Linked DNA regions of Mus musculus: all the other regions are reported to be linked to region 5. Evidence: microRNA targets listed by miRTarBase, many of them from high-throughput screens and not tested one by one. Region 5 holds a microRNA gene; each other region holds the end of a gene's coding sequence.

Region 1 (3,067 bases), not on the chromosome of region 5:
GAAAGGTCCATTTTAGCTTCGTCCTCATTCCCTATGCGCACCGAGGTACCCGCCCCATAGAAAGCTCTAGAACCTGGAATGAATGAGGCAGCTGCCGGTGAGCTGCACCCATAAGGCAAACGCTGTTGGTAGAGACTGAAGAAGGGACAGGGTGTGGCCTGAACAACAGAAGTAATTTCCTTCCAACTTGTTTTTGTGTTTTTCCAAACGTTTCCAGTCAATCAGTGGACATTGTCATTGAGAGATACTAAGATGAACGTATCTACTTCCCAAGACCCCACATCTGCAACTTGTGGCAGCCTCTAGGCCCAGCACTGAAAGGGACACAGCAGCAGTTTCCAGGGTCTTAGAGGGAAATGGACCAGAGAGAACCACTCCCCTGCTCTGCCAGGGTCTCAAACCTGCTTGCTTTCAATGGAGACCAGAAGCAGAGACTAACAGAGCTGCATGCTATCTAAAGGCCACTCCAACCATCTAACTCAGCTCTCACAGGGTCTCAGAGTAGCTTTCAGAATATAGGAGCCATCCTCACTGACAGGTGGGAAGTGTGGCTAAGGGCATGCACACTGACCTAACCCTGAGTCTGGTTCTAGCTTGTTGACAGGGCATTTGAGCATATCACATAGGGACTGGGATCCACAGGTTCCAAGACCCCAGTGAGAAACATGATGTGACATGGCTCTCTGCACACCAAAACCATGCACGCAGGTCCCTCTGAGCATCCCACACTCTCCACCACAGTGGAGAACTCCAGGAAGGAATAGCTCATAATGAAGACGACCCCAGCTAGTAAGATGGATGGACTCTGGAAACAAGAGAACACAGCGGGAAAAGTGCAGGTCTTGGAAGGGAAGGCTCAAAGGCACCTGGCTGGGAAAGAGTGGTTTGTCCCCATGTCCTGGAATGACCACAGCTATGTGACTGAGGGACAGACGGGACCTGGAACACAGTAGGGTCCCGAAGGCAGGCTCAGAGGCAGTGTGGTACTGGAAGAGCACGGGGCTCAGAATCAGGGGCCTGAATTTAGCTCTTGGCACTGCTTCCAACAGCTCTGTGACATTGACCAAGGCCACCTCCCATGCCTGGACCCACTTTGTGCCCGTCTTGGGACCCTTGCATGGCCAGGATGTCAGAACAAATGGCTGGTGGACACTGGACTGGCAGTTAAAGAGATGTGGGGGCTTGGGGTAGCAGGAAGAGGAAATCCAACCTCAGTCACTTCACATTGTTAAAAGGGGGACAGAAACAGAATCCAAACAGAAACCAGCCAAAGACCCTGTGTCTTCAGGGACTGGAGACAGTTCTGTGGGTCCCTGTGGGCACCCCACTCCAAAGCAGACCCCAACCTAGCACCATGTGACAGGGGAGGGAGAGGCCAGCTCAGGGCCCCAGGTGTCCCACCCCGGGCCAGCCTTTCCCTGTGGCCCAAACACCCCACGGCCACTAGGCTTTGTAAAGCCATACTATTTTGGGAGAGCTGGTCTTCCTTTCCATCTTAGCATCTCTGGTCCCTCTGCAGAAGAGGGAAGAAGGACCCTTCAAGACTTCGCCCTGAGGCCTGGGTGCTCATAGACACTCACCTTCCTTTCCACCTCATTCTCTAGCATTAAGATACGACATTCTTTGAGGCTCGGGCTTGCCATCATTGTATATGACTGAATTAAAAACAAACCCAACCAAAAAAAATATATAATATATATATACACATTTCATATATATATATATATATATAAAACACAGTGCGACCCCAGCACCCAGGGTATAAACTCTGGCACCAAGAAAAAAAAAAAACACAAAATATTAAAATACTTTAGCTTCTTAGTATTTGGGAGGTTAGGGGGTCTCTGGGGACCCTCGGCCACAGGTTGCTAGGCAAAGCAGCGGACAGCACTGCTTGCTGACTGCCATGTCTGCTGGGCCGAGGCGGCAGCTGTGAAACAATCTATGTACACGGGACTATGAACACTGGCAGACTCCTGACTCGCCTCAGCCTTTACCACAGGAAACACCACATGTCACATCCAGGTGAGCAGGACGGGGCCAAGGCCCACGTCTCTGGGCCCAGTGGCATGGCAGTGGCCCAGGGCCTACGAGAGACCATGAGCACTACTAGGTGGATACAATAGGGACCAGAGAGTCTTTTCCCAAAGAGGAGATGAGATGTGATAATAATAACCCAAATACAGAGTCGTATGTCCTCTCAAGATGGTCACCCTCACATTCAGTCTAATGAGTGCATCTGGGTGCCTAGCTAAACCCTGGCAGGGCCTGGCTCAAAACCCTCAGGGACATGCCCAGTCTTTCTCCCTGGTTGGGCGAAAGGCCCAGCTGCGCTCTTCCCCTTTACTGTCTGGAGGACAGAAGAACTATGGCAGCTAATACTGAGGGGACATCCTGATGGAGCGGGAGGGGGGGTGACAAAGGACAGGACAGGAACGGTAGGACACAGTGAGGGACAGGAGAGAGCCTCCAGGACTCCTCCTACCAGGAAATGACCTTCCAACAACAGGAAGTGCTCTCCCCAGGCAGGGAGGCTGCGAAGGAACGGAATGGACCTCTGGTACCACAGAGGTCCCACAGGCCATGCATCCAGCGGTGGATGCTCTGAGGCGCTTGCAGACCTGCCTGGGCTTCCGGCCCCTGTGGGCCTCAGCAGAGTATTGCTCGTCGCTTTTGGCTGGCTGGGCCCAGCTTCCTTCTCGGCAGGTCAGTCTGGCTCAGTGTGAGGCAGGACATCCCTGCGAACACAAGCGTTCTGGCTGGCTGTGGTGGCCAAGGCTACCTGGTGTTCTGGAGGTCTTCCCGCAGCCAGGTGGGCAGTGTCTGGCCCATCTTATACAGCAGCTTAGAGAGCTCAATGTTGTGGTCCCGGAAGTAATCCTTTAGGAAGGCTCGGGACTGCAATGGGAAGAAAGCTCAGATCAGGGGTGACATGCCAATATATGATCCCCTCCGTAACACCACACTCTGTCCTATAGAGATGCTTCCAGATGCTCACGTGGGAGGGGCACCAAAACACAACACCCAAGGTCAAAACCCACAGCAAAGAAGAGAGCATTCATCAAAG
Region 2 (3,067 bases), not on the chromosome of region 5:
TAAGGAGTAGAAAGCCTTCATCACCGGGCCACACTGAGTATACCAAAGACCAGAAACTGGAGCAGACAGCTATCAACAGTGCAGAATGATGGCCAACTCTACAACCACAAGTCACCCAGGCCAACACAGCCAGCCTCACTCACCCGGGCTAGGCACCAGCATGGAAAAGGGAATCAAGAAATGCTTCACTTTAGTGGGTTTTTTTGATTTTTTTTTTTATTTTTTAAGGAAAAGAAGCATTAAATTATGGGCAAGCTTCTCTCAGATCAAGTGCTAAAACCATCAGAGCAAGGCTATAGAAGGGCTGTGAATAGAAAAGAGATTCCGAGGACAGCCACAATTCCAAGAAACTCAAAGGCAACAGGGATGGGCAGCAAAAAGTACAGGTAGGCAGAATAACAGATGTGTTACAAACAGCACTGAGTGCAGGCGACTGTGGGCCTGGTGAGTGAGAAGGGTAAGACAGCAAGAAGCCATGACAGGGTCTGTCCTGGACTGAAGGTCCTTCCCAAGGCAGTCTGCTAGAGGAAGAAGGGAATTAGTGCAGGTCTGCCTGTCTCTTTGAAGCTCCAGACACAGAGACTGCCTTTAGGCAATTAGAAACAACTTCAGCTGTGGATCACAGTGGCATTTGTGGGCAGGGGTGGGGGTAGGAATAGGGTTCCTGTGGAATGGGTAGAGAAGCCAGTGGGCTGCCACTGAATTGTCTCTCCCACAGCCCCATGGGGTTCTCTTCTATACCAGAGCAACTAGATTACAGCAGCAAATGCTAGCCCAGCAAGGCCATAGTGTCCTGTGGCAATTCTTGCATGAAGCTGCTGCAATATTTTCGGGCCAAGTTAACCTTTTAAACAGGCTTGGGGACCACTTGTTTTGGCATGAATATGCATTGGTTTTAATTAGTTTTCCTTCTTTTGGTCCTTGCTCTAGGTGCTCATTAATGAGGTGAACAAGCACCTGGGGATGGAGTGAAGACTGGGTACCTGAGTTAAACTATCAAAGTGAGAAGGCCAACTGGCCAAAGCAAAAGGAGGCTGGAACTGCTATGTAAACCATCCTTTCCAACAGATAGGGTAATACTACCCTCGTTCTGAAAGAAGGTCCTGGTATGGGGACATAGGCAAAACATACTTCTTTGTCCAGGGCATAGTACATGACCCCTTTGCATCATGTGGGCACACAGAGAGGCCACTGGAAATGGCGTTTGACCTCCAATGATATGTGACTAATCAGGCTCTGAAGGTTGATTCAGGCACTACCTGAGTGATGGAACTGGCTATATGATGAGGATCAAGCTCAGTTTATCTTCCTAAAGTGTCTCTAGACAGCCACTGAGCAGTTAGGTTAGTGTAAGTCAGTCTGGGCTTGTAGGAAGCTTGCAAAAGTGTGCACCTAGAACTTGGGTCCTTCTAACCTGACATTTCTTTTTCTGCTTTTTGGGAGAATCATCTTCCATGGATCCTCTCAGGCAGACAGAATAAAGCTTTGAAGTTAATGATGCTGAGGCCAAAATGCAGACAAGACGACTCCGTATCACTTTGGTTTCGGCAGTTAGGGGGTGTTAAACAATAAATTAAGCAAACACAAGGAGTTATTTTTGACTCTCATAACATAGTAGTAGCCTTTTTTCCTAAAGAGAATCCCAGCCCAAGGTCACAGGTGAACATTTACTTGGTGGGGAAAACAAAAATCTAGTCCTACCACGCTAGTGTGTGTAGTCTTGTCCCCTTACCCTGTAAACCCCTCACCATTCTAACCAAGCCAAGCCGGGGAGATGGTGCTGTGTGGGTGATAGAGACCAGAGAGCCAGGGCAGCCACAGGGTGGCAGAGGGCAGCATTGGCAACAGGCTCCAACTCAACTGTTTCCAGACAACAGGGAGCAGCACGCTGAAATATCCACACGGCTTCATTTGAAAACAGCACTGCTTTATTTCAGAGGAAAAAAATAAAAGACCCTCCCAACCCAGTCCCCTTCACCCCCCAAAAAACCCGACCAACCAACCAACCAACCAAAAAAACCCCAATAATAATAACAATAATAAAAAATTCTATTAGAAATTATAAGGAAGCACTGAGAGTTTGAGTATTACATTCTTCAAGTATGTTGTTCGGATTTTTTATTTTTAAGTTGGTAACTATACACATATATATATAAAAAACAACCAAACCTTAAAAGTGCGGCCAAGGGATTTTGCTTAAAAGTTAGGATTAAGGGCTACTTCACAATACTGAACAGGATTGCGCAGTCATCCTATGGGCTTGATGCTCTTGCTTCCAATCCTGGCAGTTAAGAAAGGAGCAGGTTCAGAAGTGATCATACTTCAGGGTTAGCGTGAGAAAGCTAGGGAGATGCCTGTGTTCTTCCACGGCAGGGAAAATCCACCCTGAATCTAAAATTCCAACCTGGAATGTGGTGGGACTTCACAGTAGAGTTAGTCTGGATGAGGAGAGGAGCCAGGCAGGGTGGGTGTTGGGCCTGGTCAGGTTTTTGCATCTGTTTAGTGGGTTTAGTGCAGTTCTCCAAGCTTCAATTCAGAATGCCCTTCAGTGTGCTGCAGATTGTTCATGTTAAAGGACTGTTTCAGATTTGCATCCCAAGGAAAATCATGCTACATAAAAATGATCCAAGATTTTTGCCCAAAAAACTTCTTGGATAAAATCTAAAAAATACTATTGCAATTGCGTCTTTTGAAGAAAAAAACATTATCCTAAATGTAAACAGATTCACTCAACTCTCTTGTAGAAAACTTCAGAGTGGGTAATGCTGCTGTCTAGCTCTCTTGGCATGCACTCGCCAGACGGTGAAGAGCACTGCGTTCCATGCCAGCATCATCTGGGGGGTGAGAAGAGCCGGTCCACGTAGCTAAAGAGGGCATCCCAGTGCTTCCAAAGAAAGGCAATGAAAGCCACTAGGAATAAAGTGCTGAACGTCCTGTTGCGTGTCTTCATGAGGGGGACCACACAGTTGGCTACTGTTGACACAAAGACCAAGAGAACTGCCATGACAGCAAGGAGGATATTGATGAGTTTGCCCAGAAGGTTTCGGGCAGTGGCATTCTCCAGCCC
Region 3 (3,067 bases), not on the chromosome of region 5:
ACACACATGGGCATGCAGGCAGACACTCATACACATAAAATAAGTCTTTACGTTCAGGAGAATACTGTTAATATATAAACTGTTTGCACAATAGAAAAAGTTCCAGGACAAGAAAGCGGTAGAGAAGCAAAAACCGTTAAAGATGGTTTTAAAAGTGTGACTAAGTATATGTTTGTGTGTGTGTCTGTTTGTCTGTCTTCTCCTGCAGGGAAGACTTCCCGTGCCTAAGGAAGTGAACCGAAAGAAGATGGAGGAGACTGGCGCTGCCTCGCTGACTCCGCCAGGCAGCCGTGAATTCACCTCTCCAGCTACCAGTTACCTCCACCCTTTTTAATCGTCCCACCTCCATTTGTATTGCATATGGTGTATGGGGTTTTGATGAGGTCTTGGTATCATATATGGGATTTTTTTTTTTTCTGTGTAAATCATCAACTATAAGAAGAAACTATGGGACTCTAAGCCTGGCTTTAGAGAATTTACAGTGGACAAATAGGTTTCATCAAACCAGTTTTTAATCATTCTGACTCAAGTGAAAACGCTCAGAATTTCACACTGTGAATCCACGTTTACAACCCCTACAGGTGGGCCTTCAGGCCTGGTTCGCTACAACAATGTCTTCCACAACTCAAAACTCCTACTGCGCTCAGATGACTGGTCCACTCCTGCCTTTCATCAGACAGCTCCCGACTGCTTCTTGCAGAGGCTGAGAGTCCCCCCCACGGTTTTTTTTTTTCTTCATTTAGATGTAACAAGCCTAGTAGTTTATGTTCATCAATTGTCTGTATATCTATATTTTACCCATGTACTCTTTTGATGTATAGAAGTAGTTTGAAACTCATTGTTTCCTTGTGGTAAGTGACTGAGACGCTGCCACAGGGCCTGAGACACTGATGAATGGTGCTATTTTGGACTTTCAACATGCTCCTTGGCGAGGTAGCTCTGGTGGAGTTGTTTTTATTTCCATGTTCTAAGAAGGTGTCGGTACTTTGTTTCCTGGAATGTTCTTCTCTAGACTGGACTGACTTGTTTCCCTTGTGTCTTGAGTGTGGCTTTCTTCTTCAGGGTTGTAGGTTGAGTGGATGCTACCAAGAGTGTGAGAGGCTGTCCTCTCGTGACTGGCCCTGGTGGATGTGCAGTCACGGTAGCGGGAGCAATCACAAAACTGTAATTGACCTACCAGATCTCTTCCTTTCTGCAGCCTCACCTGCCTGACTTAGAAAAAGAAAAGCAATAATTTTTTTCCAGGCGTTCTGAGGTTATCTCTTTGGATTCTTTTTGTTTGACTAGATATTGGGGGAGGGGGGATAAAAGTCCACTCTTTTAATAAGTGCCATGTGGGAAAAAAAATCCAAAGTGCTGGCATTTGAGTAGGAATTTGAAAATTATCCCTTTCCCAAAGTTGAAATTGGAAAAATGTCTTTACAAAATAGTGATGATGAAGGTGATGACTATGATAGTGATGACGATGTTGTTGTTGTTGTTGGTGGTGGTGGTGATGATGGTGATGGTGGTGAAAGGCAAAATACCTTTTTGGGGTGGTTTTGATAAGCAAGGTGTAGATTTTACATTTTTGTCCTTGCTCCCAATGAAATGGATAAACAAAAATAAAATCTGACAATGCCATCTCCTCACAGAATGTTGTTGTGTTAGCCAGACTGAAAGCCCACCTTAATTTTTATATAACGTCTTTGGCTCTTCCTTTGACAGGGCAGGCCTTGTTCTGAACTGTTTGCGCTTCTGACTGTTAAACACCAATGATGCATGCACTGTCCCTCTTCACTCTTTCTCTCGCTTCCCCTCTGGCTTGAGTTTCTTGTGCATTCTCGCTACCCCCACCTCTGTTAGGGTAGGTATATCAGCTATGTAAATAAAGCAAGGAAACGGTATTGTGCATTTGTGGCATTATGTAGAATTGCAGTGTGCGCTGCCGAAAATGCAGGCTTTTGTAACGTGGTCCTCTCATAAGTACCCAATGTATTTTAGCTATTTTAGTAGGATTTGTTCAATAAATATGCAAGCTATAAGGTAACTGTGCTTTGGCTCATTATTGTAGGGTCGGTCGGTCTTTTTTAACACCTCTGTCGATTCATACCACGTTTTGTGTTCCCAGGATCCCTCAGGTCAGACAGGCCAAGTGTCAGAAGGGTGAAGCAGATTTGCCTTTTGAAAATTTTCTCTCTTGAGGGCTTTAAGAGATTAAGGGAGAGGTAGGGGCTCATTAAGATGGTGTTAACAGCATTGCCCTGGTCACAAAGGAGAGGTAAATGCAAATCCTCCACTTCTCCTTAGGGCATTCCCACTCACCTCGAGACGCACGTTCCCACTCACCTCGAGACGCACATTCCCACACACCTCGAGACGCACGTTCTCATACACCGCAAGACGCACATTCTCACATACCTCAAGATGCATGTTCTCACACTCCCTTACCAGCAAGACCCACTCTGGGAAAGGTTGGCACCTCCACACAGACAAAAGACTCACATTTGTAAGAGGATCCAATTCTGAGATAGGCGTTGAAGCCATTGGTGTGCAGGCATGCAGTCACCCAGACCCCTGTGGGTGATGAATTGCCATCATCAAAGCCTTTTGGAAGTCTCAAGTGACTCTGAAAACTGGAATTTGGGGACCCATGCTCCATGTAGATAGACCCATGCGCTGCTGTAGATAGAATCTATGATTGACACATGCAAGGCGAGCTACTCTATAACTGAATTTTATGGTCAAACCCTCTTTGATATATTCTTTAGGAAGGGCAGGTGTGTGAGTACATCTCAGTTCTGAACAGAGACCTATGACTAGAGGATCTGAGGTTCTCAGCCAACAGCCAAGGGCGTGGGCATGGCTCTCCAGCTGCGGCCTCGGCATTGAATGTTTGACTGACGTCTTGACTGTTGAGAAACTCCTGCTGCATTCCTCATTCAGCCATCGTGGGACTGAAACGTCACCTTGACTTATGCAAGAGTTTCAAAATCAGCTGGTGGAGTATAAACACTGAGACACCTCACCAGAGGGTAAAGAACATAATTCTGAAATAAAAGCCAGAGAGAGAGAGAGAGAGAGAGAG
Region 4 (3,067 bases), not on the chromosome of region 5:
CTCCTCAAGACCCAGATGCTACTTTCCCTTGCTCCCCACTCTCTTTCCTCTCCCAATGAGCTACCTTTTGCACTTCCACTAGAATGCCAGGCAGGCTGGGCCCCCAAAGGCTCCTTTTTCAAAACCTCTGGAAGCCGCGATTGAATGTGCCATGACCCTCTCCCTCTCTGGATGGCACCATCATTGAAGCTGGCATCATCGGAGTCTCTTGTTCTGTTGGCGTGCCACCTGGAAGACCCTTCTGTCCTGGACAAGAGGAACGGAAGAGCATGTTATCCTTTGAGAACAGGCTGACAGCAGCAACTACTACAACAGCTGAGATCACAAATAAATGGTGCTAAACCAGCTTGTCTCATGCTCTTGCTCTTTATGGTGCATCAAGATGTGGCCTCTGGATTGACTGTCACCATTTTCAAGGGATGGCACACAGACTTCTCCATGCAGGGCCATTCAGGGAACACAACTTCATAGCCACAAGCCCATTGTGTAGTCACATGGTACTTTATTCCGGGACTGTTGTGGTCTGACATTAAATAATGAGGTGACGTCTAACTCAAGACCCAACTGCCTGGTGCTCAAGTGTACTAGTTTCCATCCAGTTAGACCAATGGCTGGCCCAGAGTGGCGGCTGAGTTCAGGTCCAGCTTGAAAGTCTCTTAAGGTTGGAAAGGGGTATCCTTGGCTTTTCTTTGCTAACTTCCATTTGCCTTTAGTTCATAGAAGTCTCTTGCTTGGAACTAAGCCCTGCTTCTGTCTGTCTGTGGCCGCACATACATACTTTTTTGCTTTGTGCTAATGGGGTATTCTCTCTGGTGCCAAAGCTGCTTGGCAACCTCCTCCGTTTCCTTGCAGAGTAGATTGTCTTCCTCTTTGGTAGTCTTGCTTGGTGAGAGCCCTTCATTCTTTCTAGCCCAGGGTTACTGTGCCAGGCTCTAGGGTGAGAGGTGCCTTCATCTTGGGGTGGGGGTGTGCAGTCGCCTGTGAGGTAATCTGAATGTACATGTGCTACCCTTGTGAGTACTATGGCTTTGGCTTATATGTGCGGGCAGCTTGGCTTTTAGACCATTAACCTGCATGGAGAGTTTCAACAAGCTTTGTTAGCCATCCCCAAAACTAAAAATTAAAAAGCATTTTTGTGAACCCTGGGTTGTCTGAATGGAAGGTAACTGCAAGGTTGACTTTTCTAGAGTGCTTCGTCCAATCTGACAGCAGCACACTCCTTAACTCTAGCTGGCTGACTTAGCCCTAGTTGTGTGCCCAGGAGTCCACAAAACACAATGAGACCTTAGGCTAGGTATCCTGGGGGTACTTACGTCATTACTGCTTTATCACATTCTAACATGTCTAGAAAAGAAATTTGCTAAACTGCAGAAAGCCTGTCAGATGTTGGCTTTCTTGGGCCTTCTGCCTTATCTTTCACTGGGAGGTACACATGCATCGTAGCTGCATCAGCAAGCTCGATGGCACGTTCCAGAGCTAGAGAGTATCAGCAGCAGACTGAGCTGAGATCCCCTTCAGATCCCAGCTATGTGTGAGATGTCAGTGATGCTCCTGCCTGGGTCTGCTTCTTGTGGGTTTTATTTGAGCCAGTGAACAGCATCTACTGAGACTTGAGGAAGAGCCAGCAGTAATGATGGTTTCCCAAGTACTCTGGAGATCAGGGCTGCTAATAAGCAAGGGCATGGTTTGAGGAGTGGTTGAGCTTCACTCAAGCATTCCTCCAGCTTGCTGTTTCAGCCCAGTTTCTAGTGTTCTTCACCTGTCCGTCTTTCCAGCCTTCCCTGGTCACCCTGCCTGTTGCCATTTCCTACAGCACACCTGGATGAACCAAGAAGTAGCTGTTGCCCCACAAAGAGGCCACTTTGCTTGGTCCTTGTGTTGCTACCTGTCCCTAAGAAAGATAAAGCTTATTCACTTGTTTGTATCAGGTCACAGCTCTGGAACTTGCCATGTAGTCCTCACTGGCCCCCAACTTCACCTCAGACTGCTGGGATTAGAGGTGTGAGCCACCATGCCAGCTCTCATGCCCAGCTTGTGGCTCCTCTGAATAAAGCAGATTTGAGTTTTCATAGGTTTGGGTCCTTACATCAAATGGCTCACAGCATCCTCTACTTGGGGGGGGGGGGGGGGGGACTCCTACCACAGACAGAATTCTGGGACCACTAGGGTACTGCTGCCACAAAGGCAGTTAACACAGACAGCACTGTTGTGAGAAAATTGCATCTGGCCTGGGATGGCAAAAGGACCCTCTTCCCATAATGGAGCACAGTGCTGGAGAAGCTGATGGGAGTTCTCTGCAGAGCGTAAGGAAGAAGGGAAGAGAGAGGCCAAATTGTGGAGTCTTCCTTCACCTGGTCTAGCTATCATTGTATTTCAACATTGAACTTTAATATACAGATGAGGGCCAGCTCATTCACTGCCTTAGTTCAGTCATAACCTGGTGGTCCTGGGCCACTTTAAACTTAGAGCTGTCTGACCTTGCATTGTGTGCTATATATACCCAGACTAGCAGGTGGCTAAACCCCTTTCTAGTGAGGGCTGGCTGAGAGCAAGGCACTGGTGCCTGTAGGCTTTGGGTGGAGATTAGAAAGCAGGGAATTACAAACAAATGAGATCTGGTGAGATAGGATCAGTGGACCTTAAAGAGTCTTTCTTGCTGTCACTGGAATCTCCTCAGAATTCTCAGTGGGCTTTGTTCATCTCTGGTGTGTTCGTTTCTAGACACTCAAATCATAAGGCAATTTTTAGGATAACTTCCTCTTTAAAAGAAGAGCATTTTGAAGTTACCTGATGTGCTTGGGCTGCCGAGTGGAGGGACAGTGACTAGACATTCACACCTGGCTGGCCTCTGAGGACAGGAGTGGGTGCACCATTGCTCACGGCCACGTGCTTTATTTCCCTGAATCCATGCAAGGAAATTTCCAGACCCAGAATCTTCATGTCTAAGCATAGAAAATAGGAAGTCAGTTTAGTGTGTCGTGTACTAGAGGAACCTCTTCAGCCTTCCGGGTCTTCACCCAATGAACCATTGTTAGGCAGAGTTAGTAGGGACTGGCCCTTCTGGAAA
Region 5 (3,121 bases):
AGGCCATTGTGGGTGGTGCCATCCTTGGACTGGTGGTCCCAGATTCTATAAGAAAGAAGACTGAGCAAGCCAGGGGAAGCAAGTAAGCAACCAGTAAGCAACACCCCTCTATGGCCTCTGCATCAGCTCCTGCCTCCCGGTTCCAGCCCTGACTTCCCTCAGTGATGGAGTGTGGCCATCATTGTAAGCTGAATAAACTCTTTCCTGCCCTTTTCTTGAGTCAAGGTCCTGTCACAGCACCAGGATGCACACTAGGACAGCTGGGGAGAATTGCACAGTGGGGGATGGTTAGTGACTGCATTAGAATGTCACAGATGATAGGTGTTGAATGTTAAGAATGCCATGACCCACCAGACAACAAGTCCACATTTTCTTGGTATCAGTCATGCAACTAGTGGTTGCTTTGTGTGGCGGGCACAGAGTTTTATTGAAAATTGGGCTGGGGCTCCATGGGTACCGTACCCAGTCAAAGCATTTGAAATTCTGAATCCAACACCGTGTATGCTAGGCATGGTTCTCAGGGACTGGAGGCAAGAGAACTCAGTGTTCAAAGCCATCCTGGGCTACATTCAGAGTTAGAGAAAAGCCTGGACTACAGGTGACACTGTCTCAAAGCAGGCAAAGTGAAAAGAGTGAGGAAAAGAAAACAAGAAAGAGAAAAGAATTTCAGGGTTTTCTAGAAGTACCTTTGATGCCAATCCCTCTTTTAAAAGTTTTATGGCCGGGCAGTGGTGGCGCATGCCTTTAATCCCAGCACTTGGGAGACAGAGGCAGGGAGATTTCTGAGTTCGAGGCCAGCCTGGTCTACAGAGCAACAGCCAGGTCTATACAGAGAAACCCTGTCTCAAAAAACCAAAAAAAAAAAAAGTTTTATGTATGCACATGCTTTTAATTCAAACACTCAGGAGGCAGAGGCAGGTGGATCTCTGAATTTGAGGGTAACCTGGTCTACAGAGTAAGTTCTAAGACAGCCAGGTTTATATACAGAAACCCTCTCTTTTTTTTTTTTTTTTAAATGTAATTCTTTTTTTTTTTTTTAAAGATTTATTTATTTATTATATGTAAGTACACTGTAGCTGTCTTCAGACACCAGAAGAGGGAGTCAGATCTCATTACAGATGGTTGTGAGCCACCATGTGGTTGCTGGGATTTGAACTCTGGACCTTCGGAAGAGCAGTCGGGTGCTCTTACCCACTGAGCCATCTCACCAGCCCCAGAAACCCTCTCTTAAAAAAAAAAAAAAGAAAAATTTTTATGTGTGTTTATTTATTTGTGTGTGGAAGCATGTGTGTCACAGGACATGTATGGTCAGAGGACAACTTGCAGGAGTTGGTTTTATCCTTCTACCCAGTTGATCCTGGGGCTCAAGCTTGGGTTCCCTAATTTCAAAGCACTCTTTCCCTCTGAGTTACTCCACTGGCTCACCATTCCCTATTTGAGTCTCCAGAGAAAGCACGGTGCTGTGACCCAGGGCCCTGAGGTTGTGTCTCTGATCCTATCATGTAGATGTGTTTGAGTGACAGGCCAATAGCATGGGAAACACTCCTGCACTCTCCCAGGGCCCGAGACCTTGCTAGACACCCTCTCCTGTCCGTGCTAGACTTCCCTTAACCCCCTCCTGTCCCAGTTTCCTGCCCCTACCTGTTTGTGTATTTCAGGAGAAAGGTGATAGGAGTCCACGCTATGAGGCTGGCTGTGACTTGTTGTCATATCATATCAGAACAACAAAATCACAAGTCTTCCACATAGCACTGGCTCACGTACTCCGCTCCTCGTCCTCATCCTCCTCCGCCAGGTTCAACACCCTCAAGTGCTTCTCTCTCTCTCTCCATAGAGGATTGAGCATAACAAACCCCACTCACTGACTTACCCTCCCTAGACATCCCTTTTCCATTCCATCCCCTGAGACACAGGCAAGATTCATTCTCTACCTGCCCCCCAACTCACACCCTGGCACATCACCAACGTGGGATTTATTGTTCCAGGCACGAGGAGCACACACTTGTCACCCCAGCACGCAGGGAGTAGAGGCAGGAGGATGAGAACTTCAAGATCATCTTTGGCTACACAAGGAGTTCAAAGCTTGGTCTACAGTGTTTTAAAATAATAATAATTATATATATAATTGAGAGAAAAACTCTTTTTAAAAATAAAAAGAACTTGAGATTTAAAGTTGGATTGAGGCTGGCTTTCCCCTCACCACTTCACTTTGGAAATTAGTACACCCAGAGGCACTCATAACATCTCGTTGACCAAATGCTTCGCCTGTACTCTGTGAGTTTGAAGCCAGCCTAGTCTACATAGTGAGTTTCAGAACAGCTAGAGGTACACACAAAAAAACCCTGTTTCAAAAAAGAAAAAAAAAATCCCTCCGTAAAGGACAAATGCCAAGAACCATTAAGAGGTTCCTTCCCTGTACACTCTCCGCCAGAACAGACCCCAAGGCGATCCCTGAAGCTGGGTGTTGAGAGCTTGGCACTGCCAGGGGCCGGGTGCTGAAGCCTAGTCTCTTCGTGACCCGCTGGGAGCTGTCCGAAATCCTGGTGCTGAAGCCGAACTCTGCTCCGAGTCCCTCAGCCGGATGGCGCTGTCCGCGTCTCCAGTGCTGAAACATAATTAGTTATTGGGGGAGGGGGTGGTCAGTGCGGCTCGAGGACACTCTCCCAGCTTCTGCCTTCTGCCAAAATGCCCCGCTCCTTGTTTCTGTTCTTCGTCCTAGGGACCCATCTTCTGTTTTAATCTCTTCCCATGGACCCGGGGTGTTCTAGGCGGGGACGAAGGCGCAAGGCTCTCACCTGCTCCCACATCTCAGGGAGACAGCCCTGGGTTCTCTGCCCTTCCTAAACAGTCCAGTTGGCCTTCTGGAAGATGTGCCAACTTGCATTGTACCCAGAGTCCCCGCTTCCCTCCCTCAGCGCACCTTTTCCTCCTTCCTTCGTGCCTTACCTTCTCCTGCTCACCAGCAGCTGCAGGTGTCTCGGTGGCTGTCCAGTTTCCGACGTTTCACCTTTATGCGCTTAAGGGGAAGGCGGAGCGCTGGAAACCCTGGGTGGGGCTTAGCCAGTGAACCAATAGGAATCGTCTTGGAATGAAGCTCCAAGGATTACCTCATAGGTTGAGG

What was found. The annotated mature microRNA mmu-miR-7b-5p reads UGGAAGACUUGUGAUUUUGUUGUU and lies in region 5 at 1,721-1,744, opposite strand. An mRNA with a match to its seed (bases 2 to 7 or 8) in the 3' UTR can be bound and repressed. Matches are read on the target gene's strand: a 7mer-m8 pairs with bases 2 to 8, a 7mer-A1 pairs with bases 2 to 7 and ends in A, and an 8mer does both.
Region 1: miRTarBase lists Ndst1 as a target of mmu-miR-7b-5p. Seed matches in the 3' UTR shown: 7mer-A1 at 988-994.
Region 2: the mRNA of Tmcc1 is a reported target of mmu-miR-7b-5p. The part of its 3' UTR that is shown has no 7-base or 8-base seed match.
Region 3: miRTarBase lists Nrep as a target of mmu-miR-7b-5p. Seed matches in the 3' UTR shown: 8mer at 614-621.
Region 4: the mRNA of Eif4e2 is a reported target of mmu-miR-7b-5p. Seed matches in the 3' UTR shown: 7mer-m8 at 861-867.

What each region holds. Positions count from the first base shown.
Region 1 is chr18:60,686,467-60,689,533 of GRCm38, forward strand. It overlaps Ndst1 (N-deacetylase/N-sulfotransferase (heparan glucosaminyl) 1), which reads right to left. Exons shown (of 15, transcript NM_008306.5): 15 at 1-2,898. The coding sequence ends at 2,779. Among named protein-coding and RNA genes, the nearest start is that of G630071F17Rik, 25 kb to the left of the region's middle.
Region 2 is chr6:116,019,257-116,022,323 of GRCm38, forward strand. Tmcc1 (transmembrane and coiled coil domains 1) reads right to left here. Exons shown (of 6, transcript NM_177412.1): 6 at 1-3,067. The coding sequence ends at 2,831. Among named protein-coding and RNA genes, the nearest start is that of Plxnd1, 26 kb to the left of the region's middle.
Region 3 is chr18:33,435,981-33,439,047 of GRCm38, reverse strand. It overlaps Nrep (neuronal regeneration related protein), which reads left to right. Exons shown (of 4, transcript NM_053078.4): 4 at 209-2,029. The coding sequence ends at 334. Among named protein-coding and RNA genes, the nearest start is that of Nrep, 26 kb to the left of the region's middle.
Region 4 is chr1:87,227,719-87,230,785 of GRCm38, forward strand. It overlaps Eif4e2 (eukaryotic translation initiation factor 4E member 2), which reads left to right. Exons shown (of 7, transcript NM_001039170.1): 7 at 83-1,140. The coding sequence ends at 155. Among named protein-coding and RNA genes, the nearest start is that of Eif4e2, 15 kb to the left of the region's middle.
Region 5 is chr17:56,241,640-56,244,760 of GRCm38, reverse strand. It overlaps Mir7b (microRNA 7b), which reads right to left and starts at 1,773; the gene lies at 1,663-1,773. It overlaps A230051N06Rik (RIKEN cDNA A230051N06 gene), which reads right to left and starts at 3,045. Exons shown (of 2, transcript NR_155493.1): 1 at 2,947-3,045; 2 at 1,956-2,605.